Linked DNA regions of Callithrix jacchus. The main gene of each other region encodes a partner of the protein of the gene in region 2 in a complex. Links are inferred from orthologs where the notes say so. Each region holds a gene or a part of one and is shown on either strand. Other genes may lie near its edges.

Region 1 (15,548 bases), on a different chromosome or scaffold from region 2:
TGAGGTCAGGAGTTTGAGACCAGCCTGGCCAACCTGGTGAAACCCTATCTCTACTAAAAATACATAAAATATCCCTTACTAAGAAGCCATCACTGATAATCTACCTACACTCATCCTTACAGCAGCATCAATATAATGCCCCAAATGTACTATTTCAGGAATGTACTATTTAAAGGAAAATAATTTCCAATAAAGTGACTGTCAGATGTTTGCACTGATGGAATCGCCATGCATCTGGCAGGCTAGCTGGCACATGGGCATAGTGATTGTCAGCTCCAATGCCACCAGCAGCATTGCCCTCAGTAATGGGATTTCCCACAAGAGTAAACGTATCTGTCCTGGATTTACAAGTACCTACATTCCTAGGAAATCTAGGGGACATTAAAACTCACCATGTTACCCAGGCTGGCCTCAAGCAATCCTCCCACATCAGCTTCCCAGAGTTTTGGGATTACAGGCATGAGCCACCACACCCAGCCAAAATATTTTCCTTATTTCTGTGAAACACACAGAGCTTTTGTTGACTCATCTGGCTGTTGGTATTGGTATTCTATACTTGAACCCACCAAGAGGCTGAACTGGACAGGATAATGAAAAAAGTACTGTGGCTTTGGGACTGAGACAAACCGTATTGAGTCAAACCTCTTAGTTACTCTAAAGCCCCAAGCTTGAAAGGGTTAAATTAAGTATATGTTTTGTTTTGTTGTTTGAGATCTTGCTCTTCCCCAGGCTGGAGTGCAGTAGCACAATCTCGGCTCACTGCAACCTCCATCTTCCAGGTTCAAGTGATTTTCTTGCCTCAGCCTCCAGAGTAGCTGTGATTACAGGTGGCCGCCACCACGCCCAGCTAATTTTTTTTTTTTTTAATGTATTTTAAGTAGACATGGTTTCACCATGTTGGCCGGGCTGGTCTCAAACTTCTCACCTCAGGTGATCCACCTGCCATGGGCTCCCAACGTGCTGGGATTACAGGTGGTGAGTCACCACGCCCAGCCTAAATGAACCAACCAAACTGGGGAACATAACAAGGCCCCATCTCTACAAAAATTTAAAAAATAAAAATTAGCCGGGTGTAGCACTCGCCTGCAATCCTAGATACTCAGGCAGCTAAGGCAGAAGGATCACTTGAGCCCAGGAGTTCGAGGCTGCAATGAGCTATGATCGTGCCACTGTACTCCACCCTGGGTGGCAGAGTGAGGCCCTGTCTCAAAATAAATAATCCAGTCCCCCCAAAAAAGGAATGAAGTACTGTAATGAGAAAGATCATAGTACTTACCATATAGTAGACAGTGGAGAGTGGTTCTCTTTCATTTCCCAGGGGCAGACAGCTGGGGTGCAGGAGTCCTCTATCAAAGAGTCAGTAGGGCAAAGACCTTAGTCTGCAAACTGTAGCCCAGATGTGTAATGAATGTGGTCACAAACGTAGTGCCCCAGTACCACTTACCTTCCCTATAACCACTGTGCCTCCAGCCTTACAGAACAGAACCAGAGGAGCAGAGCCATACCTCTAAAAACAGGAGTGAGCGAGAGCAGGGCATGCCTGCTCTCACGGTAGGGGAAAAGACTGTCAGAGAAAGCAGCTGGAACTAATGAACTCCACATTAGCCTTCTTCCATTCTTTCAACTTAAGTCAAATGTCGGTCCTCGTTAGGCAATTGGCTTTGACAGGAGCTGTGCTAATTACTACTTACCAACCTTTAATTTCTGGGTAAAAGCAAAAGAAAAAAACTAATGGATTTTTCATTTTCCAGAGAGCTAGGAATAAAAGAAGTCCGTAAAGAAAAAGAAAAAAACCTGTATCAATTATAAGAATAACTAAGTGCCTTTAATAACCAGATTATTTAGCTGTTTAATTTCCTAATTACCTGTTCAAGCTTTTTTTTTTTCAGCTTCAGGGTTTTTGTCCATTTTGTTTGTGGAGTTTTGTCTTAAATCATTTTGGCTGCATCTTCTACATCTTGCGGGTTTTTTGTTTGTTTTTCAGATGGAGTTTCACTCTTGTTGCCCAGGCTGGAGTGCAGTGGCACAATCTCAGCTCACTGCAACCTCCATCTCCCACATTTAAGCAGTTCTCCTGCCTCAGCCTCCCAAGTAGCTGGGGGCTACTTGGTGTGCACACAAGGTGTGCGCCACCAAGCCTGGCTCATTTTTTGTGTTTTCAGTAGAGACAGGGTTTCACCATATTGGCCAGCTGGTTTCGAACTCCTGACCTCAGGTGATCCACCCGCCTCAGCCTCCCAGATTGCTGCCATTATAGGCTTGAGCCACCGCACCTGGCTACACCTTGCAGTTTTGTTTTGTTTTTGACAGTTTTGTTCTGTCGCATAGGCTGCAGTGCAGTGATGTGATCTTGGCTCACCGCAACCTCTGCCTCCCAGGTTCAAGCAATTCTCCTACCTCAGTCTCCTGAGTAGCTTGGACTACAGGTGTCCACCACCACGCCCAGCTAATTTTTGTACTTTTAGTAGAGATGGGATTACACCATATTGGGCAGTCTGGTCTCAAACTCCTGACCTCGTGATTCACCCACCTCAGCCTCCCAAAGTGCTGGGATTACAGGCATGAGCCACTGCACCTGGTCCGTTTTTTATTTATTATTTTTTGAGACAGAGTCTCACTCTGTCACCCAGGCTGGAGTGCAGTGGCATGATTTCGGCTCACTGCAACCTCCACCTCCCAGGCTCAAGTGATTCTCCTGCCTCAGCCTCCGAAGTAGCTGGAATTTCAGGCATGCACCACCATGCCTGGCTAATTTTTGTATTTTTAGTAGAGACAGGGTTTCATCATGTTGGCCAGGCTGGTCTTGAACTCCTGGCCTCAATTGATCTGCCTGCTTTGGCCTCCCACAGTGCTAGGACTACAGGCATGACCACCACACTTGGCTGACACCAATTTAAAAACTGAAAAACAATGAGTGTGGCTTTCTTCTAGAAAAAAAAAATTTTTTTTCAGACAGTTTCTCTCTTGTTGCCCAGGCTGGAGTACAATGGCAATGGCTGGCTCACTGCAACGTCAGCTTCCCAGGTTCAAGCGGTTCTGTGTCAGCCTCCCAAGTAGCTGGCATTACAGGCGCATGCCACCACACCCAGCTAATTTTTGTATTTTTAGTAGAGACAGGGTTTCATCATATTGGTCAGGCTGGTCTTGAACTCCTGACCTCAGGTTATCCATCTGTCTCATCCTCCCAAAGTGCTGGGATTATAGGCGTGAGCCATTGTGCCCGGCTGAAAAATCTTAAAAGACAAAGTTCTGAAGGTTAGCTGGCCTTCCAGGCAGACTTCTTCCACCAGTGCACTGACCCAGTTACTGGTCTCCTAAAGCTGCTGTGCTTGGAAATGTGGATACTATTGAGTCTCTTCCATCACATCATACTTTATTCAGCTAGTAATTATGAATATGAGGTCAGCTCTGCAGAAAACAGAACGGAATGGTCAGCAGTCATTCTCAGGGAGTCTGCTCCCCTGGTGTCCAGAGAATATTCCCATATCCTCCAGTCAGCGTTTGCTGGTTTTCCCAATCAAGTTTAGCATCTAAAAACCTTCATGGCCAGGTGCAGTGGCTGTCGCCTCTAATCCCAGCACTTTGGGAGGCTGAGGCAGGTGGATCAATTGAGGTCAAGAGTTCAAGACCAGCCTAGCCAATATAGCGAAACCAGGTCTCTATTAAAACTAGAAAAATTGGCCAGGTGCAGTGGCTCACGCCTATAATCTCAGCATTTTTGGAGGCTGGGGCAGGTGGATCACCTGATGTCAGGAGTTCAAGACCAGCCTGGCCAACATGGTAAAACCCCGTCTTTATGTCTCTACTAAAAATACAAAAGCGGGGTGTGGTGGTGCATGCCTGTAGTCCTAGCCATTTGGGAGGCTGAGGCAGGAGAGTCACTTGAACCTGGGATGCGGAGGTTGCAGTGAGCAGAGACAGCAGCATTGGACTCCAGTCTGAGCAACAAAGGCAAAACTCCATCTAAAAAAAAAAAAGGCCAGGCACGGTGGCTCACGCCTGTAATCCCAGCACTTTGGGAGGCTGAGGTGGGCGGATCACAAGGTCAAGAGATTGAGACCATCCTGGCCAACATGGTGAAACCCCGTCTCTACTAAAAAATACAAAAATTAGCTGGGCATGGTGGCACGTGCCTGTAGTCCCAGCTACTCGGGAGGCTGAGGCAAGACAATCACATGGATCTGGGAGGCAGATGTTGCAGTGATGCACTCCAGCCTGGGTGACAGAGGGAGACTCCATCTCAAAAAAAAAAAAAAAGAGGCTGGGCGCGGTGACTCAAGCCTGTAATCCCAGCACTTTGGGAGGCCGAGGCGGGTGGATCACGAGGTCAAGAGATCAAGACCATCCTGGTCAACATGGTGAAACCCTGTCTCTACTAAAAATACAAAAAAAAAAAATTAGCTGGTAATGGTGGCACGTGCCTGTAATCCCAGCTACTCAGTAGGCTGAGGCAGAATTGCCTGAACCCAGGAGGCAGAGGTTGTGGTGAGCCGAGATTGCGCCATTGCACTCCAGCCTTGGTAAACAAGAACGAAACTCTGTCTCAAAAAAATAAAGAAAAACCTTCATGCAGGAAGTCTCCTTTAGAATCTGTGATTTGAGTCATAAACAGTATGTGTCATTAAGCAAGGATTTTGGTGCTGTGGAGAGAACTGAAACGTAAGAAAGCTTTTAGAATTGCATGATTTCTTTACCCCTAATTTCATTGAGCAGACCCAGAGCTTGGTCCATGTGGGGGCTCAATGGCTACTCTACGCTACATCACAGAAATGGAATTGTCCCGTTTTGCCATTATTCACTGGGAACACTGAGGAATAGGGACACGAATGTGACAATTATACATGTAATTCATATGACTGTCACTGTACAAAATCCAGATACTGAGACCTGGGACAGGTCCTGGTACTAGAAGCCACTGCAAGCAGGCGACAGCTGAGCGCCAGCAGGGCTCACTGCCACCGCATCTGGTTTGAAAGAACATTTCTGTACAGACTTCGTTCCTCCCAAAGCAAATGTGAAGCTATAATCCATGAAAAGAACTGCAATCCATTAAGCTACTAATTAAAATGGTACATAACAGCAAATTCAAGTACAACTTTCCAGGCATGTCAGCATATTTTCTGTTTAATATTTGTTTTAAAATTAATTTCAGCTACAGCATGAGGAATAATCATTTTGCTCTTCAAGCCTGATGTTAAAAATTTGCTTTTGGGCCGGACGCGTGGCTCAAGCCTGTAATCCCAGCACTTTGGGAGGCCGAGGCGGGTGGATTACGAGGTCAAGAGATCGAGACCATCCTGGTCAACTTGGTGAAACCCCGTCTCTACTAAAAAGACAAAAAAAAAAAAAAAAAAAATTTGCTTTTAATGTGAGAGAAATATTTTTTAAATTGAGACAATTCATATCAATTCATAAACTGAAATGTTATTCTGAACTTTTAATTATGTAGTCTTTGGCTATTTTATTTTAAATCAAAGACAGAGCTTCCCAGCACCTTAACGAATGTCAAAAGGAAAACCCAGTGGCTGCACTGAGCACAGTCGAGCAAAACCACAAAAAAAATCTTTCTCAAAGATGTTCACTTTGGGTTCCAAATTACTCAAAACACGTCAGTATTGGGCATTATTGGAATTCAAATAAAAAATACTTTTCAAATGGGAAGAAGAGGAAAGATCACTGCTGCTTAATACATTTTATTTTGGTCCGTCATTACACCTGCATGAGTAATCACGGGTGGGGTTTTATTTGCAGGAGGAGAAGGTCTTCCAGAAGAAATTCTTGCAGGGCATCCTGTTGCGGCGCGTGGACGGCTGAAGGGGCGCACCTTCCCGCCGCTTGGCTGCCTCCCTGGCTTCCTCTCCTGTGAGTGGCCCAGAGCTGGCCTGGGAGGTCCACTCAATCCACCAAGCGAGGAACGTCAGGAGGCTGCTTTTCTTTATTTCTGTCGCTTCCTGCATATGCTTTTAAAAAGAAGCAGATGGCAAAGGAAAGAAAACTCAGCGATCTGGCTCAGGCAGCAAGCAAAGATAGGCAATCTCCTCCTTACTTAAAAAAAAGACCTAGAATACCTTGGAGAAAAGTATTAAAAATAAATAAATTCAAAAAAAAAAAAAGAAAAGATGCTCCATAGCAATAAGCCACATTTCCATTTAAAGGATGAAGATGAGAAAGTGAAGAGAATACCTTAAAGAAATTGCTCTAATTAGAGAAAAGGAAAAGTAAGTTGGTCATTTTAAGTCAAGGAAAAAAACCTGGTGGTTTTGCCCCATACTCTCTGCTGAGGTCCTTAATTAGAAGTGGTCAGGAAACCTGCCATTCTCCCCGAAGTGACTGGCAGCTAAGAAGCCCCGAGGTGGAGCAGGCTAATGTACTCATTCCCCACCTCTGGCCACACTCCTGGATGTCTGCAAGTCGCCTTCTGAGACAGATGGGACTGAAACATTATATTCTGGTTTTTCAAGTTCCTTAGAAAGCTTTGGGAATAATCTGGTGGTAAATGACCTGTCTGAAACTCATCTGGTAATTTTGGAGAAAAATCCATTTTTAATGGTCAACTTTATATACTCTTTCTTGGAACTTTTTCAGAACGGAAAAAAGAGCAATCAATCACCTCATGAAGTTATAAAACCTCACAACAGAAATGTAATGATGCCAATTACTCTGAGCCAGTGGGAGCCTGTGCTGTGTAGAATCTGAAGGCTCTGGAAGTCTGGGTGACTCACAAGGGCTATGGCAGCTCTATGCCTGCCCTCAGTGGACTGGCACACTCATTTCACCCTTCCCAGATGCCCAGCGGAGAGAGGCACTGACATGAAGGGCTCTCCTTGAGCTGCGCGGCCTTCCAACATGCTTCATGGGTTGAGACAGGTATATGTAGATCAGCAGTCTGAATGGGACATCCCAGTACCTCGGGCCAGCCAAGAACACTACGAAGTTCAGCCCTGTGTCTTGTCCGAGCTGTGAAATCCAACACACGCACACGCGCATGCGCACACACACACACACACACACTCACCATGCAGGCCAAAAACCCAACAAGAGAGTGGGCAAGCGTGTGGCCACGTTGCGTCTGTACTCACCTCACTGTCTGGGCTGATGGGGCCGCCATCCAGGGGCAGGGCCGCAGTGGCCGTGGCCCCAGAGAGCAGCAGCAGCAAGAGGCCAGGGGGCAGCAGCATCTTGGGGGCTGACTGGAGCTTCTCTCCCACCCTGCTGCTGCTCTTCCTCCTGGCAGCCCTGAATCAATGTTCTGGGGACTTGGGTCTCTTCTTTGGAGCTTGGTGGGTATTTTAAGCTGAATCTCCAGCTGTTTTTTGTGTCTATACATGTCTAATGCCTGGATCCTCTTCCCTCACGTGGTGACGCAGAAGCTGGAGCAATCAGTGCCCAGAAAAGCGCTTTGGGATTGGATTTAACTCCTTAATTAAAGCTTCAGGTCTTTTCCTGTGTTTACAGCGCATTTGCTCTTATTTTGGAACGCATGTGTGCTCGCTGCTGAAGTTCCACTTCCTCGTAATTATGCCTATAGCAGGCAGGAAGCCGTGAGAACAAAAACAAGTGATTTAACATAATATAAAATTAGCCTTGGATAAGGAGCTTGAATGTGAAATTGTGCACATGTGAAAGTATGACTGAAACTCATCCAGTAATTTCAGAGAAATTCTACTACGGGCAAAGAAACAAGGAGGCAATGGGGGCTCAGAGATGCTCTGATCAAATCCACTAGTTTCACCAAATTGTCGGCAAGACCCCAGGAATTGCTCCCAGTGCTGCCTCTCAACCCAGCAGGCCAGACCCACCATCCTCTAGGCCAGGCCTTCTCAACCTGAAGTGAAGACAGACCATTTTGCAGGCAGGTCTTGATGTGCTGGGGCACAGAGGAGCTGAGAGCTGCATTTTCAACAAGCAGCACCCAGGCACTGCTGGCCCTGGAGCAGCCCTGGTCCAGTTTTTGTTGGTGGTGGTTTTTTGAAACAAAGTCTGTTGCCCAGGCTGGAGTGTAATGGCGTGATCTCGGCTCACTGCAACCTCCGCCTCCTGGGTTAAAGCGATTCTCCTGCCTCAGCCTCCCGAATAGCTGGCATTATGGATGTGTGCCATCATGCCCAGCTAAAATTTTGTATTTTTAGTAGAGATGGGGTTCCATCATGTTGGCCATGCTGGTCTCAAACTCCTGATGGTCCCGTGTTTTTTTTTTCTTTTGAGAGAGTTTCGCTCTTGTTGCCCAGGCTGGAATGCAATGACTCAATCTCAGCTCACCACAACCTCCAACTCCCAGGTTCAAGCGATTCTCCTGCCTCAGCCTCCAGAGTAGCTGGGATTACAGGCATATGCCACCATGCCCGGCTAATTTTGTATTCTTAGTAGAGACAGGGTTCCTCTGTGCTTGCCAGGCCGGTCTTGAACTCCCGACCTCAAGTGATCCACCCGCCTCAGCCTCCCAAAGTGCTGGGATGACAGACGTGATCATGCTCCTGACCACCCACTCATGGGTCATTGGTCAGTACTTTTCTTTCAAATGAAATTTAAATTAGTGTGCCTCACCCCGAATAAGGATAAATAATGTTTCACGTTGTGTGTGGGTCTCGTGTGAGATGTACTGGTACCACAGGGCAGTCAGTCTGGGAAGCAGTACCCAACCCTGCCCTCAGCCAGCTCCCAGGGCTCGCTCTCTTCCTGAGCCCAGAGCCCCTCTCTGTGCCATCCACTGGCTCTTCCTCACAGGCCCTCATTGCTGAACCACACAGACAAATGCACAGACCCCTTCACCCAACCAGACAGTGAGTAAAATCCAAAACATCTGCTCAAGCCTACTACCGATGACCAGTGTCCAAGGTAAGGCTCTAAAGTGAAGGAACGCACCCCAAAACTGACAGCGCTTTCTAGAAGGGAACATACTTGTTTTCAGTTTTCCCAAGTTCTGGTTTACACCTTCACAAGGAAAATCTCAATTGTGGATTTAATTTGTCACAGTTTTTTTGTTTATGTTAAAATCCTAGGTAAGATCAGCATGGCCTACTGGCCAGAGGCTTATACATCGTATGTTGCTTCATCTTTTTTTTTTTTTGAGACGGAGTTTTGCTCTTGTTGCCCAGGCTGGAGTGCAATGGCGTGATCTCGGCTCACCGCAACCTCCACCTCCTGGGTTCAGGCGATTCTTCTGCTTCAGCCTCCTGAGTAGCTGGAATTACAGACACATGCCACCATGCCCAGCTAATTTTTGTATTTTTAGTAGAGACGGGGGTTTCACCATGTTGACCAGGATGGTCTTGACCTCTCGACCTCATGATCCACCCGCCTCGGCTTCCCAAAGTGCTGGGATTACAGGCTTGAGCCATTGCGTCCAGCCTGCTTCATCTTTTATTTCTGTACCAAAATAATTCCCAGAAATGACACTAAAATTTTGAGTTACTCTTATAGATAAGACAGTCACAGCAGCTCAGCCAGCTTTTGTTTTTGAGATGAGTCTTGCTCTGTCACCCAGACTGGCCTGCAGTGGCATAACTTTGGCTCACTGCAACCTCCACAGAGATCGAGACCATCCTGGCCAACATGGTGAAACCCCATCTCTATTAAAAATAAAAAATTGGACAGCTGGGAAGATGGCGGTTGCATGCATAGTCACTGTGTACCTTGTCGGAGCTGGAGCTGGGCAGCTGTCCCCTTCGTTCCCTACCAGGGCCTCAACATGCTGTTTGCACCAAAGCCTCAGTGGGTGCCATGGTGGCCCCCAGCTTGCAGACAAAAGACATCATTCTCTTTCCTTAATTGACCAGACCCTCCAAACCTGGCTTTTAAGAGGCTAAAAGGCAAAAGTCCAGGAATTTTATCTTCATCCCTGGCTATATTTCTAATATGAATGGTACAAAAGCATTGGCGATTGAGTTTTGCGAATCTCTAAGTCACACCTACATAAGGTTTGATTACTCAGGAGTTAGAAGTTCAGACAGTAACCTGGAGGCAAGCACACTGGGGAAATGGAGGAAAGATGATCTTTCTATAATTGATGACTTAGCTGAAGGGCCACAGATTCATGCTGGATCTAGCCTCAGGTGGTGGCTTAAGCTTCATGCTGCAATTGCACGACCAGAAAAGGTTATGGCTCTTATTGGTGTATCTACAGCTGCAGATGGCTTAGTGACACAGTTTAATCAGCTTCCTGTTGAGGCAAAAAAAGGTGTGTGGAGCATGCCATCAAAATACCATGAAGATGGAGTTTATCACATTCAGTACAGTTTCATTAAAGAAACTGAACACTGGCTGGGTGCGGTGGCTCAAGCCTGTAATCCCAGCACTTTGGGAGGCTGAGGCGGGTGGATCACGAGGTCAAGAGATCGAGACCATCCTGCTCAACATGGTGAAACCCCGTCTCTACTAAAAATACAAAAAATTAGCTGGGCATGGTGGCGGGTGCCTGTAATCCCAGCTACTCAGGAGGCTGAGGCAGGAGAACTGCCTGAACCCAGGGAGCGGAGGTTGCGGTGAGCCGAGATTGCACCCTTGCACTCCAGCCTGGGTAACAAGAGCGAAACTCCATCTCAAAAAAAAAAAGAAACTGAACACCACTGCTCGTTACACAGCCCAATACCTGTGAGCTGCCCTGTAGGATTGCTCCATGGCATGGATGATGTTGTACCTTGGCATCCACCGAGTACTCAGCACAGATGCGGATGTCATCCTCCGAAAACATAGTGATCACCGAATGAAGGAAAAAGGAGACATTCAACTTCTGTTTACACTACTGATGACTTAATTGATAGGCTTTCAACTATAGTTAACTAGTATCACATGTTTAGTTGGTATGTAAACTAATGTATACAGAAGAGTGAAAGAGGGATAGCAAGTGAAAGATCCTGATACTTTAGGTTCTTCTCTTACGTCTATTTTGTAAATATCAGATGAGTATTTATTTAATGATGTATTTGCACAATAACACAAATTGTGAAGGACCAGCTACTGTCTAGAAAATTTTCTCCTTCCTTCAGTCCTTGATTTTTTTTCATTAAAGTATTTCCTATTTTTTTATTCAAGAAAAGTATACCTTTCTTACATTTCTGTTAGCTATGTCAGCTCTTAATTGCATCCTTTTTAAATTAGGATTATTAATAAAGCTTGAATATTTTATTTTATTATAGATGGAAATTTGTAACATTCTGATTTCAAAAGGCAATGGACAAAATATAGAAAAATTTTTATCGAAGTAAATTTGAAATGATTGGAGAAATTTCAGAAGCATAATAAAGTTCATGATAAGGAAAATATAATATATAAAATATAATTATATGTATGTAAAAAATATATATATATATGTTATATAAGCTGCACATTATATTCAAACTTAAAATTAAGCCTTTACTTTTTTTAAAGGCCCAAAACTACAGTGATGCCAGGAGCTATTTCTAAATTTTGGCTTATGTGTCATATATTTAAATGGGAAATTTCATCTAAAACAATGAGGTAGCATTTTATTTTATTTTATTTTATTTTTTGAGACGGAGTTTAGCTCTTGTTACCCAGGCTGGAGTGCAATGGCGCGATCTCGGCTCACTGCAACCTCCGCCTCCTGGGTTCAGGCAATTCTCCTGCCTCAGCCTCCTGAGTAGCTGGGATTACAGGCACATGCCACCATGCCCAGCTAATTTTTTGTATTTTTAGTAGAGACGGGGTTTCACCATGTTGACCAGGATGGTCTCGATCTGTTGACCTCATGATCCACCCGCCTCGGCCTCCCAAAGTGCTGGGATTACAGGCGTGAGCCACCGCACCCGGCCACATTTTAATATTCTGATTGGTAAAACTAGAGAGGAAATTGATCTTTATATATTAAAAAAAAAAAAAATTAGCTGGGCTTGCTAGCAAGCACCTGCAGTCCCAGCTATTCAGGAGGCTGAGGCAGGAGAATCGCTTGAACCAGGGAGGCAGAGGTTGCAGTGAATCAAGATTGCACCACTGCACTCTAGCCTGGCAACAGAGTGAGACTCTGTCTCAAAAAAAAACACAAGAAACAAAACAAAACGAAAAAAACCAAAATTAGCCAGGCGTGGTAGCACAAGCCTATAATCCCAGCTACTCAGCAGGGTGAGGCAAGAGAATCACTTGAATCCGAGAGGCAGAGGTTGCAGTGAGCTGAGATCACAGCATTGCACTCTAGCCTGGGCAATAAGAGCAAAACTCTGACTCAAAAAAATTAAAAAAAATAAAAATAAAATAAAAGACGGTTTCAAAAAGGTAGCAAACTTTGGGAGGTGGAGATGGGAGGATCACCTAAGCCCAGGAGTTCAAGACCAGACTGGACAACATAGTAAGACCCCATCTCTAAAAAAAAATTTTTTAATTTAGCCAGGCATGGCAATGCACACCTGTAGTCCTGGCTACTTAGGAGGCTGAGGCAGGAGGATCACTTGAGCCCAAGAGTTCAAGACCAGCCTGGGAAACATGGCAAACCTCATCTCTACAAAAATTAGCTGGACGTGGTGGTGCACACCTGTGGTCCCAGCTACTTGGCGGGGTGGGCTAAGGTAGGAGGATCCTGGAGCATGGGAGGTCAAGGCTGCAGTCAGCCAAGATAGCGCCACTGCAGTCCAGCATGGGTGACAGAGTGAGACCTTATGAAAAAAAAGAAAGAAAAGAAAACCTAGCCAGGTGTAGCAACACACACTTGTAGTCTCGGGCTCTTGGGAGGCTGAGGCAGAAGGACTGCTTGAGCCCAGGAATTCATGGCTGCAGTGAGCTGTGATCATGCCACTGTATGGGTGACAGAGTAAGAGCACATCTCCAAAAACAAAAAAGGCCAGTGCAGTGACTCATGCCTATAATCCCAGCACTTTGGGAGGCTGAGGCAGGAGGATCCCTTAAGCCCAGGAGTTCGAGACCAGCCTGGGCAACATGGCAAAACCCACCTCTACCAAAAAAAAAAAAAAAAAAATTAGCTGGAGGTGGTGGTACACACCTGTGGCCCCAGCTACTTGGGGAGCTAAGGTAGGAGGATCATCTGAGCATGGAAGGTAGAGGCTGCAGTGAGTCAAGATTGAGCCACTGCACTCCCGCATGGGTGACAGGATGAGACCTTGTCTCAAAAACAAAAGAAAACTTAGCCATGTGTGGTAATATACATCTGTAGTCTCGGGCACTTGGGAGGCTGAGGCAGGAGGATTGCTTGAGTTCAGGAATTCATGGCCGCAGTGAGCTGCGATATACCACGGTACTGCATGACAGAGCAAGAGCCCTTCTCAAAAAAGAAAAGAAAAAAAAAGCCAGGTGCAGTGACTCACACCTATAATCTCAGCACTTTGGGAGATTGAGGCAGGAGGATCACTTGAGTCGAGCCCAGAAGTTTGAAACCAGCCTGGGAAAAATGCTGAGATCCCATCTCTATAAAAAAACCTAAAAAATTAGCCGGGCATGGTAGCGCATGCCTGCAGTCCCAGCTACTTAGGAGGCTGAGGCAGGAGGATCACTTGAGCCTGGGAGACTGAGGCTGCAGTGAGCCATGATCATGCCACTACATTCCAGCTGGCCAACAGAATGAGATCCTGTCTCAATTTAAAATAAAAAAGAGCATAACATCTCTGAAACATATAGCTACTGGAGTTGGAAACCCAAGATGAAAACCCCCATCTTTCCACCTTTGGAAAGTCTGTAGTATGTTCCCTAAACTGTTCTTGATGAGTTTTAAATTTTGTTTTAGCGTTGGGATCTTGTTCTGTCCGCCAGGCTGCAGTGCAGTAGCACAGTCATAGCGCACTAAAGCCTAGAACCCCTGGGATCAAGCAATCCCCTGCCTCAGCCTCCTGTGTAGCTAGCTGGGACTATAGGCATGCATTTGCATGCCTAACCTTTTTTTTGTTTTGTTTTTTTTTTGAGACGGGGGTCTCACTGTGCAGCCCAGGCTGGTCTCAAACTCCCAGGCTCGAGTGAATCTCCTGCCTCAGCCTTCCATGTAGCTGGGACTACAGGCACTACCCACTGCACATGGCCAATAAGGAGTTTAAAGAGAGCTTATCTGAAAATGAAACTCCTAACATATGGGTCTTTGGCTGAACACAAGATGGACGGCTTTATGACTCACTGTTCGTTCACTGATATGACACACAGATTATCATTAACATGAGGACAAGTGCTGAGCCACCTGCAGACCCGAAACCACGAGGTGTGAACTCAGTGCTCCACTACAGCCATAGCTTAGCACCTCCCTTTCAGAGTCAGGCTGTGGGGTGTGCTCATCAGATTTGGGTACAGATGGTATAAATTCTACCCCAAATGCATGCCCTTTTCTCTCACCCGTTCTATAGTGAACGGCCCCGAATCTGAACACTGTCTCCTAACTATAGCCTGGTGACCCTGGGCAGCTGGTTAGCCTCATCAAACTTCCATTTGCTCATCAGGAGAAGGTGGAGAATCAGACCTACACTAACAAAGTTGTGGAGATCAGTGAGGTAATAGGTGGAGTACCCAGTGTGTGCCTGGCACACAGAAAGGGCTCCACAAATGCCTGCCTGTTCTCTTCACCGTATTGCCACAGGGTAAAGGGAAACGCAGGCCTGGACCTCTAAGAAACCCAAGGGCATCAGAAGACAGTAAGACTGGCACCCTTGGGAGCGTTTTCTCTCACAAACTAAAACAGGATGTCATGCTGAAGTCTTCTGATCTAGCAGTCCCAGATTTTCCCCTCAAGCAAAACTTCCCTGAGCAGAACCATAGCTCCGTTACAAAATAGAGAAAAGTCACGGCCAGCCAGATACAGTGGCTCACGTCTGTAATCCCAGCACTTTGGGGGCTGAGGCAGGAGGATTACTTGAGGTCAGGAGTTCAAGTCCAGCCTGGCTAAGATGGTGAAATCCCATCTCTACTAAAAATACAAAAATTAGCCGGGCGTGGTGGTACACACCTGTAGTCCCAGCTACTCAGGAGGCTGAGGCAGGAGAATCACTTCAACCCAGGAGGCAGAGGTTGCAATGTGCCAAGATCACACCACTGCACTCCAGCCTGGGAGACAGAGCAAGACTCTGTCTCAAAAAATTAAGAATGAACTGGACCCCTTCCTGACAAATTAACTCCAGATGGATTAAAGACTTAAACATAAGACCTAACACCATAAAAACCCTAGAAGAAAACCTAGGCAAAACCGTTCAGGACATAGGCATAGGCAAGGACTCCATGACTAAAACACCAAAAGCATTGGCAAGAGAAGCCAAAATAGACAAATGGGATCTAATTAAACTCCAGAGCTTCTGCACAGCAAAGGAAACAATCTAATTAGAATGAACTGGCAATCAAGAGAATGGGAAAAAATTTTTGCAATCTACCCATCTAACCAAGGACTAATATCCAGAATCTACAAAGAACTGAAACAGATTTACAAGATAAAAAAAAAAAACAAAGAAACCCATTCAAAAGTGGGAGAAGGATATGAACAGACACTTTTCAAAAGAAGACATATATGAGGCCAACAAATATATGAAAAAATGCTCATCATCACTGGTCATTAGAGAAATGCAAATCAAAACTACATTGAGATACCACCTCATGCCAGTTAGAATGGCAATAAT
Region 2 (15,418 bases):
CTGACAGGAACCGGGGTCCCAGGGGCTTTAGGATGCTTGAGGCGGGGAGCAGGGTACCTGAGGCTTGCAGCTGGGCCAAATGGGGTGGGGCTCGAGGTGGGGCCAGAGAGCGAGGGCGCTGGCGCCTCTGTTTGCCCCACATGGCTGCCAGCCCCTCGGGGAGAGGGCAGTGTCAAATCAATTGGAGAAATTGATCTCAGCAGGGATTTCCGAGCCATCTGCTAGGTCCCCAGAGCCTTCCAAGCAGATGAACATGTCACCCAAATCCCCAGGGAGGCAGGTGAGGGGGTGCTGTGGTGTGAACGAACCTCAGTTTCCCCCAGGGCACCCTGGATCCACCCCTCCTTGGTCACTCAGAGGCAGAGCCTTGTGGACCCGCTGGAGAAGCCCCCTAACTCCCCCTATAGCTATTGAGAAGCCTGGGCAGCCCGCTCAGGGGCGGCTGTGAGAGGCAGCTCCAGCCTCAGACCTCAGGCAGTGTCTGTCATTTTTCACCCTGTCCATGAATTCCACGTTTCCCGGCTTCCTGCTGGGCATTCAGCCGCCCCCCTCCTGGCCCTGTCTGGCTCAGCAGAGCTGGGGTGGGGGGTCTCGCCCTGTGTTGGGCCTCAGGGGAGCCTGGGCTCCACTCACTCTGGTCTGTGCTGGCTGCACTCAGCTCCAGAGACAATATTTGCTCGGGGAAAGAATCAAACATTTATCCTTGAGTTTATACAGGGGAGCAATTGTCAAACACACGTGTCCTCATCGCTCGGACGTTTCCCAGGCCTGACCTCGGTCTGGGCCTTTCCCCTGCCTAGCTCTGTACCCACTCAGCCCACTCCTTGCACCCTCCCGGGAGGACGGGGACCTGCTCTGAGCGACGGGAGCATGGGTCAGGGCCAGTGCTGGGCAGGGCAGAGGGGTCTCTGGTCCTGCTCCTTCCAGCCTCAGAGTAAGGCTCTGGGTCCAGGGTGCCAGGAGAAGTTGGCGTTTGGGGTGGGAGAGGTGGGACAATTCTAGGTGGGGTTCAGCAGGATTCCCAGGACCTGGCATTCCCATCACCCATGCGACCACTGCCTCCCAGCAGTGCTGTCTCCCCACTGCTGCCTGAATGACTGTCCGCTGTTCTTGTTCCCTCTCCCAGGCCCGGAGCCCCTGCCCCAAAGCAGAAGAGACAGCCGTAGGTTCCCCATCCTTTCCAGTCCCTGACCCTCAGGTCCTCCTCCATCAGGAGCCCTTCCTCCAGGGCCCCCAGGCACACCCCGTTCCCGGCCCTCCAGACAGAGCCAGTCAGCGTAGCACAGACGCCTGAGCCCCAGAAGCCAGGAGGGCAGGAGCCTCCACCCCAACCTCAGCCCCTGGCTCTCCTCTGCGCCAGCTGCCTCCACACCTCTCCCACAGGGAGCCCCCTGCTTCCCTCTCTGGGACAGCGTCCCATGGAGGGTGGCGGGCAGCAGGGTGGGGCCCCAGGGCAGGCGTGACCCTGGCTGACCGAGGGCTGCCCAGTCACACTCCCTCACACCTGTGTCCAGATTCCACACAATGTGGGGAAGGGCTGGGCTGGGGCCCTGGGCAGGGACTCCAGGGGACCTGATCAAGCCCTTTCAGGTGTCTTTAATTTATGAGAGCAGCAGGTAGCTCAGAGCTGACCCAAGGCACATGCAGCTGGGGGGCCGGGCAGGGCAGGCCCCTGCCATCAGGAAGACCCTCTCATCTGGCTGGCCTTTTGGAAACGTCGCTCCCCGGCAGGGAGGCTGGCACGGGCTGGGGCAGGATGGAGGGTGAGGGGGCCCTGAGGACTTACAAGAGCCCCTCACCAGCCTGGGTACCTCTCCCACCTCCCAGGAGCCCCCACGCAGTAAACAGGCGGGAGAGGGTGATCTGTCACTATGGGGTGCCTTCTGCCCTGTGTCCACCCCAGCCTGGCCTCGGCAGTTCCAGCCTCGCCCCACCGCCGTCGGGAAGCATCCTGACTGACAGGCAGGTGAGGGGTCGGGGGCACTGCAGTGCAACCCCTGCCCCTGGGGGTGACAGGGGCCGCCCGTCCCCTGCCCTCGGCGCCCCTCACAGCTGGCTGGTCTGCATGAGCCCGTTGACCTCGGCGCCATGCGTGGGCGGCGTGGCCTCCTGCTGCTGCCGGCTCCTGTCTGGCCGCGGCTCCGTGGCGTCAGCGTCCTTGGCGCCGGAGCCCTGGCAGAGGCACAGAACCTTCCGGAAGCTCTGGCGGAAGTTGTCGGAGAGGAAGCCGTAGAGGACCGGGTTGGCACAGCTGTTGGCGTAGGAGAGGACGACCACGAAGAAGTAGAGGCCGGTGGAGGCGGGCTCCTGGGGCAGCGCCACCGCCAGGTTGACGATGTTGACCGTGAAGAAGGGCAGCCAGCAGCCCACGAACACCAGCACCAGCACCACCACCATGCGCGTCACCTTGCGCTCCGAGCGCCGCCGCGCGCAGCCCACGCGCAAGCCCGCGGTCCTCACCTTCACCACGATGAGCAGGTAGCACAGGCAGATGACCAGCAGCGGCCCGAAGAAGCCCAGCACGGCCGCGTAGACCACGAACACGGCACTCCACAGCGCCACCGGCTCCGGCCAGCTCACGTTACAGGTGCCGCCGTCCTGCACGTCCGCGAAGACCAGGACGGGCAGCGACATGCACAGCGACAGGGCCCAGGCCGCGGCGCTGGCCATCTTGGCCACGCGCGGGCGGCGCCAGCGGGCGGAGCTCAGCGGGTGCACCACGGCCAGGTAGCGGTCCACGCTCATGACTGTCAGGCAGAAGACGCTGGTGAACTGGTTGATGCCATCCAGCGTCATGACCAGCCGGCACAGGACGCGGCCGAAGGGCCAGAAGGACGCGGCGTTCTGCGTGGCCAGGAAGGGCAGCCCCAGCATGAGGAGGACGTCGGCCACCGCCAGGTTGAGGATGTAGATGTTGGTGACCGTCTTCGTCCTGGTGCAGCACAGAACCACGTAGATGACCAGCGCGTTTCCGCCCAGCCCGACCGCGCACACCAGCAGGTACAGCACAAGCACCAGCACCGCCCGGGCCCCCGGCGACGGCGCCGGCCCCACCAAGGACCTGTTACCCGAGGAGGAGGCGTTCCAGCCCGGCACGGACGCCGGGAAGAGGGGCTCCATTGCGGCAGCCCGAGGGCGCGTCGGCTCTGCAAGAGAAGAGGGGAGGACGCCGGGGCGGTGAGGCTGTGAGTGGGCACGTCCAGGTATTCCTCCTCCCTGCCCGGTCAGGCCCCACCTGCCGGGAGGCTGGGATCACCGAGTAAACACGATTAGTCATGTTCAGCTTGGCCAGGAATCACATTAAGCAAATTGTTTGGAAAACAAGCCAGGAGAGGAAGGAGCGGCGGGCAGGTGGCCCCGGGAGCCCAGGCCGGCCGGCCGCTGTCAATACCATGACGGCTGCCCGGTGGTGCCTGGCCTGGCTGTGGCATCATGAGGCCAGCACCTGCATCTCCCCAGAGCCCCTCAGAGCCTGCCCTGCGGTGCTGCTGTCTGCGTCTCCCAAGGGGAGACCTGGTGGGCAGCACCTCCCAGGGTGCACAGGGAGAGGCGGCAGCGGAGAGAGATGAGGCCGGTGGTTGGCCCCCGCCCTGCCCAGGATGCACGACTGGAGAATCCGCTGGACAGCGTGTCACTGCCGCAGCCTCGAGGGACTCTCGCCGGGCTGCACCTGCCCCTTGGACCCTGCACCTCTCGCCAGACCATTGCGGGGACCTGTTCCCCCCATGGCAATGACAGACATCTACAAACCCAGGCAGGGGCACAGCACAGGGGCTGGGCAGACACCGCCCCTCCCCACGGGGCGGCTGCAGAGAAGCAAATACACAAACCGCACAGAGCAGCCACGTGGAGCCCAGGGGTCGCACAGGGCGAAGGACGAGGAACTGTGGGGTGGGCAGCTACTTGTCCTGCAGCCCGAGGGAGAAGCTGCAGTGTGGGGCACCGGCAGGTCACAGGCACAGGGGTGGGGGCTCCAGCTGCCTGACACTGCCTGTCCCATAGGAGCTCGGAGCCCCCTCCTAGGACCTGGAACCCCCCACAATGGCCCAGAGAGAGAAAAGGGGAGACATGGGGGAGGGTGGGCTGAGAATAGTAACATCTGTGGGTTCAAGGCTCGTATATTGTTTCTGTGTTTTTCTGTGTGTTTGAAATCAGTTGTAAAAACGATTCTCTGGCCAGGCGTGGTGGCTCACGCCTGTCATCCCAGTGCCGTGGGAGGCTGAGACGGGGGGATCACCTGAGGTCAGGAGTTGGAGACCAGCCTGGGCAACATGGTGAGACCCCATCTCTACAAAAAATACAAATATTAGCCAGGTGTGGTGGCGGGCGCCTGTAGTCCCAGCTACTCAGGAGGCTGAGTAGGGAGGACCATTTGAGCCCAGGAGGTCGAGGCTGCAGAGAGCTGTGACTGCACCACTGTGCTCCAGGCTGGGTCACAGAGCAAGACCCTGTCTCAAAAAGAACATCAGGCCAGATGCGGTGGCTCACACCTGTAATCCCAGCACTCTGGGAGGCCAAGGCTGGAGGATCACCTGAGGTCAGGAGTTCAAGTCCAGCCTGGCCAACATAGTGAAACCCCGTCACTACAAAAAATGCAAAATTAGCTGGGTGGGTGTGGTGCGTGCCTGTAGTCCCAGCGACTTGGGAGGCTAAGGCAGGAGAATCGCTTGAACCCAGGAGGTGGAGGTTGCGGTGAGCTGAGATCAGGCCAGTCCAGTCCAGCCTGGGCAACAGAGTGAGACTCCGTCTCAAAAATAAATGAATAAATAAAAAGACCAGTGCCTCCCCTGACAAGTGGGGTGGAGGAAGGTCAGACGTTCGGGTTGACCCTGGGACTCTGTGACTCTGGGGGTGGCCAGCAGAGAATCAAAGCGCCCCTCAGGATCCAGACCAGGGACAGGTCCCTCCCTGGGGGGACCCTGGCCTGAGTGGGGGTGGAACTGGCCGTAGTGACCCCAGCATGTGCTGTCTGGAGCCCTGGGCCTGCTCAGCTGACCAGCTGTGACCCCTGAGGCACCTCAGAGCACAGGACGCCCCCAGCAGCTACCAGGGAAGGCCACAGTCCTGGCAGGGGGCTGCGGGGTTGGGCCGAGGCCACTGACATCTGGTAGACAAGGAAAGGAGAGCCGGGGCGGGGGGGGGGTGCAGAACACAAGGCTGACAGCCCCGAAGAGGAAGCCGTGTGTCCCCAGCAAGCCCAGAAACCAGCGTTCCCAGGTGCACGTGGCCCAAACACGCTGAGAAATACAACTCAAAATGAACAGGGCCGTGCAGCCGTGGATTCATCTCAGGGGAAATAAAAATAACCAGCTCACGAACGCTTAGATTGTTTAAACACGTGGAGGATCCACAGAGAAGGCACGGAAAAATGCTGGGGAATAAATTTGGCTTCTGTCTAAGAAGTAAAATGAACAGGCACCTATTTTTAAAAATCACACATCTTGGATGTAAAAAAAATACAATCATTTGTGGGGGAAAAGAACTACAGAAGTGGTCAGAACCAGCTCCAGTCTGCACAGCGCGGAAGAGAGAATCGGTGACTGGAAGAGGGTTGACGGATGGGTGGGAACAGGGCGCCAGCAGAAGGTCAGGAGAGGGCTGTGTGGGGTCCCAGGGGGAGAGCGTGCCTGGGCTCCGCCAGAACTGGTGACAGGGTCCCGTCTGGGAGCCCCTGTCCTGTGCGGCGTAAAGGAATGAAAGAGCATCCCCATCAAGCTATGGCATCCGGGGCAAAGAGAGGCAGCCAGGGAGACAGGACGGAAACACCCGGGCAGGACCTGGACAGCTGCGGCAGTGGCCTCCATACAAACCCTGGGGGTGGGAGAAGCAGAAGCAGGGGGTGGGGAGGGAGAGAAAAAGGGTGGGGGCAGACAGAGAGAGAGGGCGCTGTCACCCTAGAACCCCTACCCAGTAGAGCGCTGCCCAGCCAGGAGGGAAGAGACATTTCCGTTTTTGCTGGAGCTGCTGCCTAAGGAGCTCCTGGGCTGGGGTCGGGCTGGAGCCTCCAGCCGCATCTGCTCCTGGCAGGGAACAAGGCCTCTCCTAGGAGGACTCAGACAGGGGCCTCCAGGAAGTGAGTTCCCACGGCAGCAGTGGACCAGCGATTCTCCACTCCCCAGGGGCCGGCACAGAAATCCAACGCATCATTTACGGCTCCCCCCGGCTGCCTGTGGGGCGTGCATTCCGGAAGGACTGTGGTCTGCAGACAGCCCGTGGGCTGCATGGGAGTCCGGGTGGACGGGACAGCGTCCTGGCTGCTGAGGCCTCTGAGCTTCAGCCCTCCCTGGGGAGGCGCTTTCGGCCCACTCCTCGGTACCAAGGAGGCCAGGTGGAGGAGCCATGGATGGTGGGGCAGGGAGAGGGAGACTGTGGGGTTCCGGTCCATCTCCAGAACAGGCCCTGGGTCCCCAGCACCTCTGGTTCCTGAGTGCTTGAGTTTTTGCTTTTGAGATGGGGTCTCGCTCTGTTGCCCAGGCTGGAGTGCAGTGATGCGATCACAGCTCACTGCAGCCTCCACCTCCTGTGCTCAGGTGATCCTCCTGTGCTCAGGTGATCCTCCTGCCTCAGCCTCCCAAGCAGCTAAAACCAAATTCCCGTGTTTGTAGCTTCAGAGCTTCAGAGGAGCTACTCAGGGCTCCTCTGCCGCCACTCCCATGCCCAGAGCCCAGCGAGAGGCTCCACGGGTTCCCAGGTCCCAGCTCTGCGGCCGCCAGGGCTCCAACCCCAGAGGTAGACTTCAGAGCAGCCAAGAACAAAAATAGGCCGTTACTGCTGTACCTAACTCTTGGAACATAATTCCGCAGGAGCCATTATTTGGAAGCAGTCATCTTCTGAGTCATAAAATTACACACTCACAGGGAAATTGTCCCCATGGCCCTGTGCCTTGTGGGTGGGGGGATTCACTGGAGGCGGTCAGCACGGGGGACTTCAGATCTCCAGCCCTCAACCGGGAAGGGACCTGCTCAGCCAGCGGTAGCTTGACGGCACTGGGAGCAGATCCCGGCCCCGCCCCACCACCCCACACGGGCCTCCTGGTCCTGGGTCAGTCCTAGGCTTCTCCGAGCCCAGCTGCTGGCAGAGGCCACTCCTTCAAACCAGAGCAGATGAAACCGAGCGAGCTTCTGTGTGCAAGGCGCTGGGTGCTGTGTCGGCATACACGGGGCGCTCAGCGATTGCCCCCACAGCTGCCCTCAGCAGCCCAGCCTCTCCCCAGCATCCAGAAAGCCATGGGGCTCCCCAGAGAAGCACAGCACCCACGGTTCCTGATTGCCTGATTTTTTGTTTTTGAGATGGGGTCTCGCTCTGCTGCCCAGGCTAGAATGCGGTGGTGGGATCAGAGCTCACTGCAGCCTCGACCTCCTGTGCTCAGGAGATCCTCCTGTCTCAGCCTCCCAAGCAGCTAAAACCAAACTCCTGTCATTGTAGCTTGAACCACGTGGCTAGACCTGTGCCCTGCCAACCCCTTCCAGGTTAGCCCAGCACGAGGTCGGGGAGCCGGGTCCTTCACAGGGGCAGTGACGCAGCTGCAGCTTGGAGGGGCTGCATATACATGTTCCCTACACACACGCCATCTGTCCCTATGTCAGGCAGCCTGTGGTCAGGGCACACGCCCTCCCCAAGAGGGGGAAACTGAGGCAGGTGGGGGCCAGCCTGAAGCAGTAGCAGCAGCAGGGGGCCAGGCCGGCACTACCCCTCCTCTGCGCTCTGCGAATGCTTCCTAGGCCACCCTCCACTCCCAGGGCTCCTCCTGGAAGCCCCGCCCGGTCTCGCCCTGGAAATCCAAGCTAGGCCCCTGTCCTTGGTACTATTGACCAGTTTCCACCCCCAGGCTCTGGCAGTCCCCACCCACATCCCCGGATCGCTGCCTTCAGAAAGGGCTCAGCCCGGCTGGAACCGTCCCAAACTCCCCTCTCACCTCGAGGGGGTCCCAGCAGGCTGGCAGGCCGGGGAGAGCGGGCGGGCAGGTGGGCAGGCCTGGGGTCCGGAAGGAGCGCCCAGGGCACACACCCCAGGGGCGTGTTCTCTATTCTGGGGAGGGCGGAGACGCCTGGAGGGGTCCGGACACACGCGGTGCCTTGTACAGGAGGCGGCTCTGTTCCGGCGGGCAGGGGTGACACCCCAGCCTCCCAGTGCTGGGTCCCAGGGAACCCATCTGTGGGTGCCAGCTCCCAGGACTCCAGTGCTGGCCTCTCTGCCTGCTGCCTTCCAGGAGCTCACCGCCCCGGCGGGGCGCAGCCAGGAGATGGCAGGGATGGAGAGTCTGGGAGCGGAGGGACCCCCGGCGGCGGCAGGAGAGCCCCGCGGGTGTGCAGAGGGCGCGTGGGGGGACAGCGAGCGCAGCAGGCGGGGGCGCAGGGCGGGACCCCGGGCCGGGGCTGCGCACACGAGGTGGGCGCCCCAGCGGGGATATCAGAGCTGCGCGGGACCCCGTGCTGCCGAGGGCAGGGGTCGCCCGCGCAGGAGGGGGACGGGGCGGGCGGCACTCACCTGGGTGGAGGCGCCCTCTGGCTGGAGAGCCCCGGCGTCCGCGCTCGGAGCTGGCTCTGGGCTCTCGGGGCGGGCGCCGGCTGGGAGTGGGCGGGGCAGGGCGGGGCCACTGTCTGGTGGGGGCGGGGAAGGGCGGGGCCAGTGTCTGGTGGGGGCGGGGAGGGGCGGGGCCAGTGTCTAATGGGGCGGGGCCGGTGTCGGGTGGGGGCGGGGCGGGGCGGGGCCAGTGTCTGATGGGGCGGGGCCGGTGTCGGGTGGGCGCGGGCGGGGCGGGGCCAGTGTCGGGTGGGGGCGGGGCGGGCCGGGGCGCTTCATCTGCGGGGCTCCCAAGTCGGGGCTCCCACATCGAGGCTCCCCGTAACCCTTGCGCGCTTGCCCACATTCCTGGTCCCACTGGCAGTGACCCCATGATCGCCTGCGCCCCCGCCCCATTTTCTTGCTGTCCGCTCTGCAGCAGACCCCAGCTTGGGGTGCGGGTCCCTCCTCCAAAGTCTGAAGAGGGTGGAGGGGTCCTTGTTTAAAGGGAGAGAGGCAGGGGCTCCGCAGGCCTCTCCGGAGGTGGGCTGTGGTCGTGGAGAGAAGGGGTGCGGGGAGGACCGCAGGCAGCCCCGCTGTGACATGGTCGTGGTCCGGGATTTCCAGGACGCTCCATTCGGGGTTTCCAGGCCTTCTTTGCGGATCCTACACGAATTTAAATGCGGCCGAAACGTACCTGCTGAGCGGTTATTTCTATTTCCCCTGAAATAAATCCATGGGTCCACCTCAGTCCCTCACCTAAGGCGGGGTTCTGAAGTCACCTGGGGCCTCCGCGCAGATTCCCAGGCCTCGCTCGGGTGGGTCCCCAAGTCCGCAGGTCACAGAGCCTGGGAATCTGCACTCCTGACAAGATCCCGCGTGCTGATGGCAAGTCTGTGGGGTCCACCCTGAGCACCCGCTGGGCATGAAGCCTGGGGGTCACCGGACACTTCCCCACCAGGAGGCCCCCCGACCCCCTCCCCTGCCCCTGCCCCTGCCCAGACTCAGGGAGCCCTGTCACTGGCTGAATGAAGTGAGGTGCCCCCAGGTGACAGCAGAACCCTGAAGGCCCTGGGCCCCTCGTCGAAGGGACATGGGAGCAGCCACGTGCCGTCTGTCCACAGATGGGTAGGCTCATGCTGGCTCGGCTCTGTTGAAAGCTCCAGCGGCTCCCTCGGGAGGCCGGGTACCAGGACTGAGTTCTCTCCTTTAAGCTTTTCAGCGTTTCCACATGTTCTTCAGGAGCACAGATTGTTTCTCATCCAGCAATACTGCTTGGAGGACCACAGCGCGAGCCCCACGGGGAGAGCCCGGGTTCACGGGACCACAGCGCCAGCCCCACGGGGAGAGCACGGGTTCACGGGACCACAGCACCCAGCCCCAAGGGGAGAGCCCGGGTTCACGGGACCACAGCACCCAGCCCCAAGGGGAGAGCACGGGTTCACGGGACCACAGCACCCAGCCCCAAGGGGAGAGCCCGGGTTCACGGGACCACAGCGCCCAGCCCCAAGGGGAGAGCACGGGTTCACGGGACCACAGCGCCCAGCCCCAAAGGGAGAGCATGGGTTCACGGGACCACAGCGCCCAGCCCCAAGGGGAGAGCCCAGGTTCACGGGACCACAGCACGAGCCCCATGGGGAGAGCCCGGGTTCACGGGACCACAGCGCCCAGCCCCACGGGGAGAGCCCGGGTTCACGGGACCACAGCACCCAGCCCCATGGGGAGAGCCCGGGTTCACAGAGGGTCTCTGGGGAGGCTGCAGCTGGCCCTGGGGCACACGACGCTCCCTCCCTATACAGGCTTGGACCCATGGGCTCAGAAAGTCATCTGGCCTCCCTCCCACCCCCAGGCCCTGTCTTGCAGGTGTCTGCCAGCTCCTCCACCTGTAACACCTCCCCAGCCCTAACATGAGGCCAGACACACAGCTGGGTCAGATGGAGGTGGGAAGGGGCACCCACCCCCTGGGCTGTGGCATCCCTGGAGAAGCTCACACCAGTGGCTCTGCAGGCCGAGGCGCTTGAGGCTCCTGTGTAGAAAGTAAGAAGTTCCTAGGGCCGGGCGCAGTGGCTCACGCCCGTAATCCCAGCACTTTGGGAGGCCGAGGCAGGTGTATCTCAAGGTCAGGAGTTTGAGACCAGCCTGGCCAACTGGCCAATATGGTGAAACCACAACTCTACTTAAAAAAATACAAAAAACTTAACTGAGCATGTGGTGACGGGCGCCTGTCATTCCAGCCACTTGAGAGGCTGAGGCAGAGGCTGCAGTGAGCTGAGATCGCACCACTGCACTCCAGCCTGTGAGACTCAGTCTCAAAAAAAAAAAAAAAAAAGGAGGTAAAAAGCTTCCTCTTCAAAGTTTCCCTTTTTGTTAAACAATAATAATAAATGTTAGAAATGATAAGTTGTTTGGAAAATTCCTGCTTTTTGCTAGTAACTCTTTTTTTTTGCATTTTAGGTTTTGGGGTACATGTGCAGAATATGCAAGATAGTTGCATAGGTACACACGTGGCAGTGTGATTTGCTGCCTTCCTCCCCTTCACCCACGTCTGGCATTTCTCCCCATGCTGTCCCTCCCGTAACTCTGCTAAACCTTAGCCTGTGTAGCTGTTAGATATAGAAGAGGTACATGGTACGTCCCTGTGCTTTCACCGGGATATCTGCGCTGGCCGTGCTCACAGGCGTGTCCCAGCTCGCGGCCTCTGCCCCTTCTTTCTTTGTCCTTCCTCTCTCCCCTTGTTCTCCATTGCCTTCACCTACTTGGAAAAGTTTTAAGTTGTCAGCCCATCGGGTTTTAGTTTAGATTGTGAGGTCTGACTCCAGCCAGGGGAGGTCAGACATAGCAGTAACGGCCCAATGCATAAGGAATAAATATGCCTGGCTTTCCTCTGTGTACTCTCGAGGCAAGATGGCTAACGAGACCACCCTTTCTGCAGAAAGTAAAATTGCCTTGCTGAGACAACTTTTCGTCTGAATGCTTATTTTTTCTTGCAACACCTGGGAACAAGCATTCTGTCTCTAACTGCCTGCAGAGGGCTGCAGGTGGCCCACCTGCTGATGGAGGCCACCCTGGAGGTGGCGGGTGTCATTCTTCTCAGAGACTCTGGGGTAACAGTGGCTGGCAGGCTGGCTGACCAAGTCATCCTCACCTCCCAGCACCCATGCTGAGGCAGGCACAGTCCATGCTGAGGTCCAGATGTCCCCAGGGGTGGTGCAGGAGCCCTTCTGGACCGGGTGGGAGGTTCTGGGGGACAGGCCAGCTATGGCCCAGCTGCACATCCCATTGGGCCTGTGGGCAGAGAAGCCACCTGCCTGGACACTTGAGTGTGGCATCATTCCCCAGCAGGTCAGACAAGCCCTGTCCACGCATGGGATGGGGGCGGGGGAAGACACGGTTTCTGAGCATTTCCAGCTGCCAAGCCCACACTCAAAGGTGCAGATGCCCAGCTCTGTGAGAGTGTGGCAGAGGCAAGGACCAAACCCGCAGCATTTCCACAGAGGCGCTCTCAGACCCTCATGAAGACAGCTGCGGGGAGGAGCAGGTGGCAAGGGGGAGACTAGGGCACCAAGGGCGGGCAGGGAACAGTCCACGCTGAGGAGGGGACAAGAGAGTAGACTCAGACAGCAGGGGGCAAAGGCCCTGACAGAGGGTGGCTGGGAGGGGAGCGAGGGGGTGGCCACAGTGGAGCCGAAAGGGGCAGCACTTCCTTCCACTCACCTCCTTCCCGGATCACCTCCTAAATGACGCCCCTTGCCGTCCTGTCTCAGGACTCCCAGTGAGGAAGCGGTGACTTCACATACACTGACACACGGCGGGAGGGGGCCTGGAGCCCAGCTCCTGCGTGGGCTCTCTGTGCTGCTGCCCCTGAGCCCGGACCAGCTTCTCTCCTGTGCCCCACTCAGAGCCATCCATGCCCACGGGGTCCCTTGGGGCACCCCCTGGGAGCCAAGTGCTTCATCTGCCCTGATGCCTGGGAGGGCCCATGCTGCTGCACCTGCTGCTACTGTCCACGCCCTCAGTCTCCCTGTCTGCCAACTTTGTCACCTCCAGCCCCAGAGCCAAGCAGGTCCCTTTCCCTCCTGCCCAGCTTGGGACATAAGCCTTTTCATCCTCTCTGGAAGTGCCTGGGATAATTCCCGCACCCCCACCACACACACACCAGTAGCTTCCCAAGACAGATCCTCTGAGGATCCCTGGGGCCCCAACTCCTCCCCATCTCCATCTGCTGCCCCCCACCCCGGAACCCTCGAAGTTCTCACCTCAGCCCCAGCTGTTTCTCCACCTCCCACCGCCCCTGGCTGTGTTCCTCCAGCTCCTGCTGGGGGGCCCCCATCCTTCATATTCTGGGGCTCCCTGAGAAGCCTCTGGGCTCCCACTGTTCTGGAATTGCTGGGTGCCCCAGGGGTGCAGGGTCCAATGTGAGTCAGGGCCCAGCACCCAGTGGAAGTTCAGCCCTGCGGGTGGAGGGGCGCTCCCACTCCCAGCATCAAACTGGGACACTCCCACCTCTGAGCACCTGGGCCCTCCTGGGGGCCTGATGGCCAGAGAGGGGGCCTGTCGGCCCTGCACCGCTCCTCCCACCGTCAGCCACCCTGAGTTCTGGACAGGAGTCCCCTGGCCTCAGTCCACCCAGCCCAGGAGGATCAAACAAGGTGACACCCGCCTGGGACGCTGCAGAGGTCCAGCCCGGTACCGTGGGGATTAGTGTCTGCCGGGAGCCATGGCAACTGGAGGGTGGCTGGACACCTCTGCAGGGACTGTCCTCGGACCCCTCTCCAGGGACCCCACCCCTGGCTGTGACCTGTACCACGAACCGTGAGACCCCTCTCCGGAGGCTGAGGCCAGCACCTCCTGGACGAGAAGCCCCTGCCCCTCCACCCGCAGGCGGAGGCTCGGTCACTGCGCTCACGCTCCCCTGTGATTATTCAGAAGGGACAGAGGCTGACTCCAGCTCACCTGGAACACCCCGGAGGCCTCTCATCTTAGTCTCTGGACTGGGCCGGGCCCCAGGGGTGGTGCCTGGCGGCCGAGGGGGCCCTCCCTCCACTCGTCCGAAGGGCCCTGCTGTCCCCGTCACCCTCTGAGCACCCGGCCTTTGCCCTGGCCTCCCCCGCCCCGTGCACCCCACCTCCCTTTCTGCATAGCTCCCCCGGCAGCTCAAGTGACCCTTCTTCCCGGAAGCCCGACAGCCCCACACTTGTTCCACTGACCGCCACCCCCCGCAGCCTGCGGATGCTCACTGGAGGCCACAGGCCTGGTGGGCCTTGACTTCTCCCCTCATCTGGTGCACAGCAGGGTCCCAGTAAACATGGTGCACGTGCCCCTCCAGGCCCTGGCTGGCGTGGCAGGCAGCACCGCACTGCACTGGGAGGGGAGGTCAGAGGTCAGCCCCCCACAGCGCAGCACAGCGGGTCACCAGCCTCCCAACAGGAGAAGAAAGTCACACGGGCACAGGGACAGCAGGCCTGTGTCACTGGGACCCGGCTGGGGGTGTCCTGGTGTCTGAGCTCCTCAGGGGGCTCCCACAGAGCGTCCCCAAGAGGATAGAGTGCCCTGAAGTCATGCGGATTGCAGCCTGGGGACCCCGCAGCAGGGGCTTCCCAGCGAGACATCCGGAGTGAGGTGCACACTGCAGAGCCAAGGGCACAGCGTGGCCCGGGGGCCGAGAGCAACGGGAGACCCTGGAAGGTTTAAAGGGTGGGACCTTCTACAGGGGCCTGAGCCCCGCTCTGGGGCCCGGGGCGTGGCTGACCCTCCTGGCTGTGGTCTCGGCTCCAGTGGGCACACTGTTAACATGGAGTACTCCTTAAAATGCAGCTTCCCAGGCCACCCAGCCTTCAGGATGGGAAGCAGGGGCCGTGCTGATGGCCTCACTCCACACAGGATCACAGGCATTGCTCGGCGTTGGGGACTGGCCCAGGTGCCGGGGACACAGCGTCCTGCCTGTGTGCAGGACACCAGCCCCTCGGCTGGGGCCAAACCCAGCATCTGGTACAGCCGTGGGTGCTGTGAAGGACCGTGGCGGGAGGAGGAAGGGGGCGAGATTCCAAAATTAACAGCCACGTGACGCAGACTATTCCCAACCACAGTACAGGCAGCGCAGAGGCGGGCCAGGCGGGCCAGGGGAGCCCAGTGCTGACCTAGGGCTGGGCTTTGGGAACGGACCTGCAAAGGGCAGCCCTCGTGGCCACACAGTGAGTGAAGAGGGTGTCACAGTACAGCGGGCATGTTACAGGTCACAAGCAGGGTGGGGTCCCTGCAGAGCCCGTCCAGCCACCATCCAATTCCCGTGGCTGCCCGCAGCCACTAAGCCTCCCAGTCCACGCTTGATCTCAGCAGCAGCCCAGGTGGGTGACGCCTCATTGGATGCTCTGGGGGTGGGTGGGCTGCGGCCAGGAGACTCCTGCCCAGAACTCGGGGTGGCTGATGGCGGGAGCGGTGCTGCGGGGCTGGCAGGCCCCCCTCTGGCCATCAGTCCCGCAGGAGCTCACTGGGGGAGGGGGCACAGCCAGGATCCAGACCATGTGAGATGCCAAAGGCCGTGGGCCTTCCTGCCTAGGACCAGCAGCCAACTCATCTAGAGACAGAGGGAGCTGGGGGGTTGTGCTGAATCCCTGTTGGCTCCAGCGGGGACAGTGCCAGGCTCATGAGGTTGAAGAGGCCCAGAGCCAGGATCCAGACATGGGGTCCTAGAATGGGCTACACACAGGGGAGAGGAGCCAGCGGCAGCAGGCGGGCAGGAGAACCTCAACCACCGAAAAACTCCCGCCCTTCCTACAGCATTTCAGTTAGCTCTGTCCCCCAACCACCTCACCCCGCAGCCTCCATTAACCCAAAACAAAGGGTCTCAATCCCTGGAGGCTCAGATGCTCCTTATAGATAAGCCCTGGAGCCCTGTCTGGCCCCTCCCGGATTCCCG

The links.
Region 1: the proteins of SSTR5 (region 2) and CORT are in contact, whole or in part, in a cryo-EM structure (PDB 8X8L), measured with the Homo sapiens proteins. The link is inferred for Callithrix jacchus from reciprocal best matches to the Homo sapiens genes SSTR5 and CORT. Residues at the interface, in NP_001044.1 of Homo sapiens: Tyr89, Leu96, Gln99, Asn100, Ser103, Asp119, Gln123, Glu182, Thr185, Cys186, Asn187, Ala188, Trp190, Gly198, Phe201, Ile202, Thr205, Phe264, Phe265, Asn268, Asn271, Glu279, Ala283, Tyr286, Phe287, Val290, Tyr294; in NP_001293.3 of Homo sapiens: Cys93, Arg94, Phe96, Phe97, Trp98, Lys99, Thr100, Phe101, Ser102, Ser103.

The regions. Positions count from the first base shown.
Region 1 is NC_133508.1:48,331,983-48,347,530, reverse strand, and holds CORT (cortistatin precursor), read right to left. Parts: upstream 7,670-15,548; 5' UTR 7,523-7,669; coding exon of another isoform or gene 7,517-7,522; 5' UTR 7,179-7,516; coding exon 7,080-7,178; intron 5,961-7,079; coding exon 5,742-5,960; 3' UTR 5,352-5,741; downstream 1-5,351. UniProt on the Homo sapiens protein: Binds to all human somatostatin receptor (SSTR) subtypes. It also inhibits cAMP production induced by forskolin through SSTRs.
Region 2 is NC_133513.1:3,319,896-3,335,313, reverse strand, and holds SSTR5 (somatostatin receptor type 5), read right to left. Parts: upstream 8,546-15,418; 5' UTR 8,488-8,545; intron 3,147-8,487; 5' UTR 3,121-3,146; coding exon 2,047-3,120; 3' UTR 678-2,046; downstream 1-677.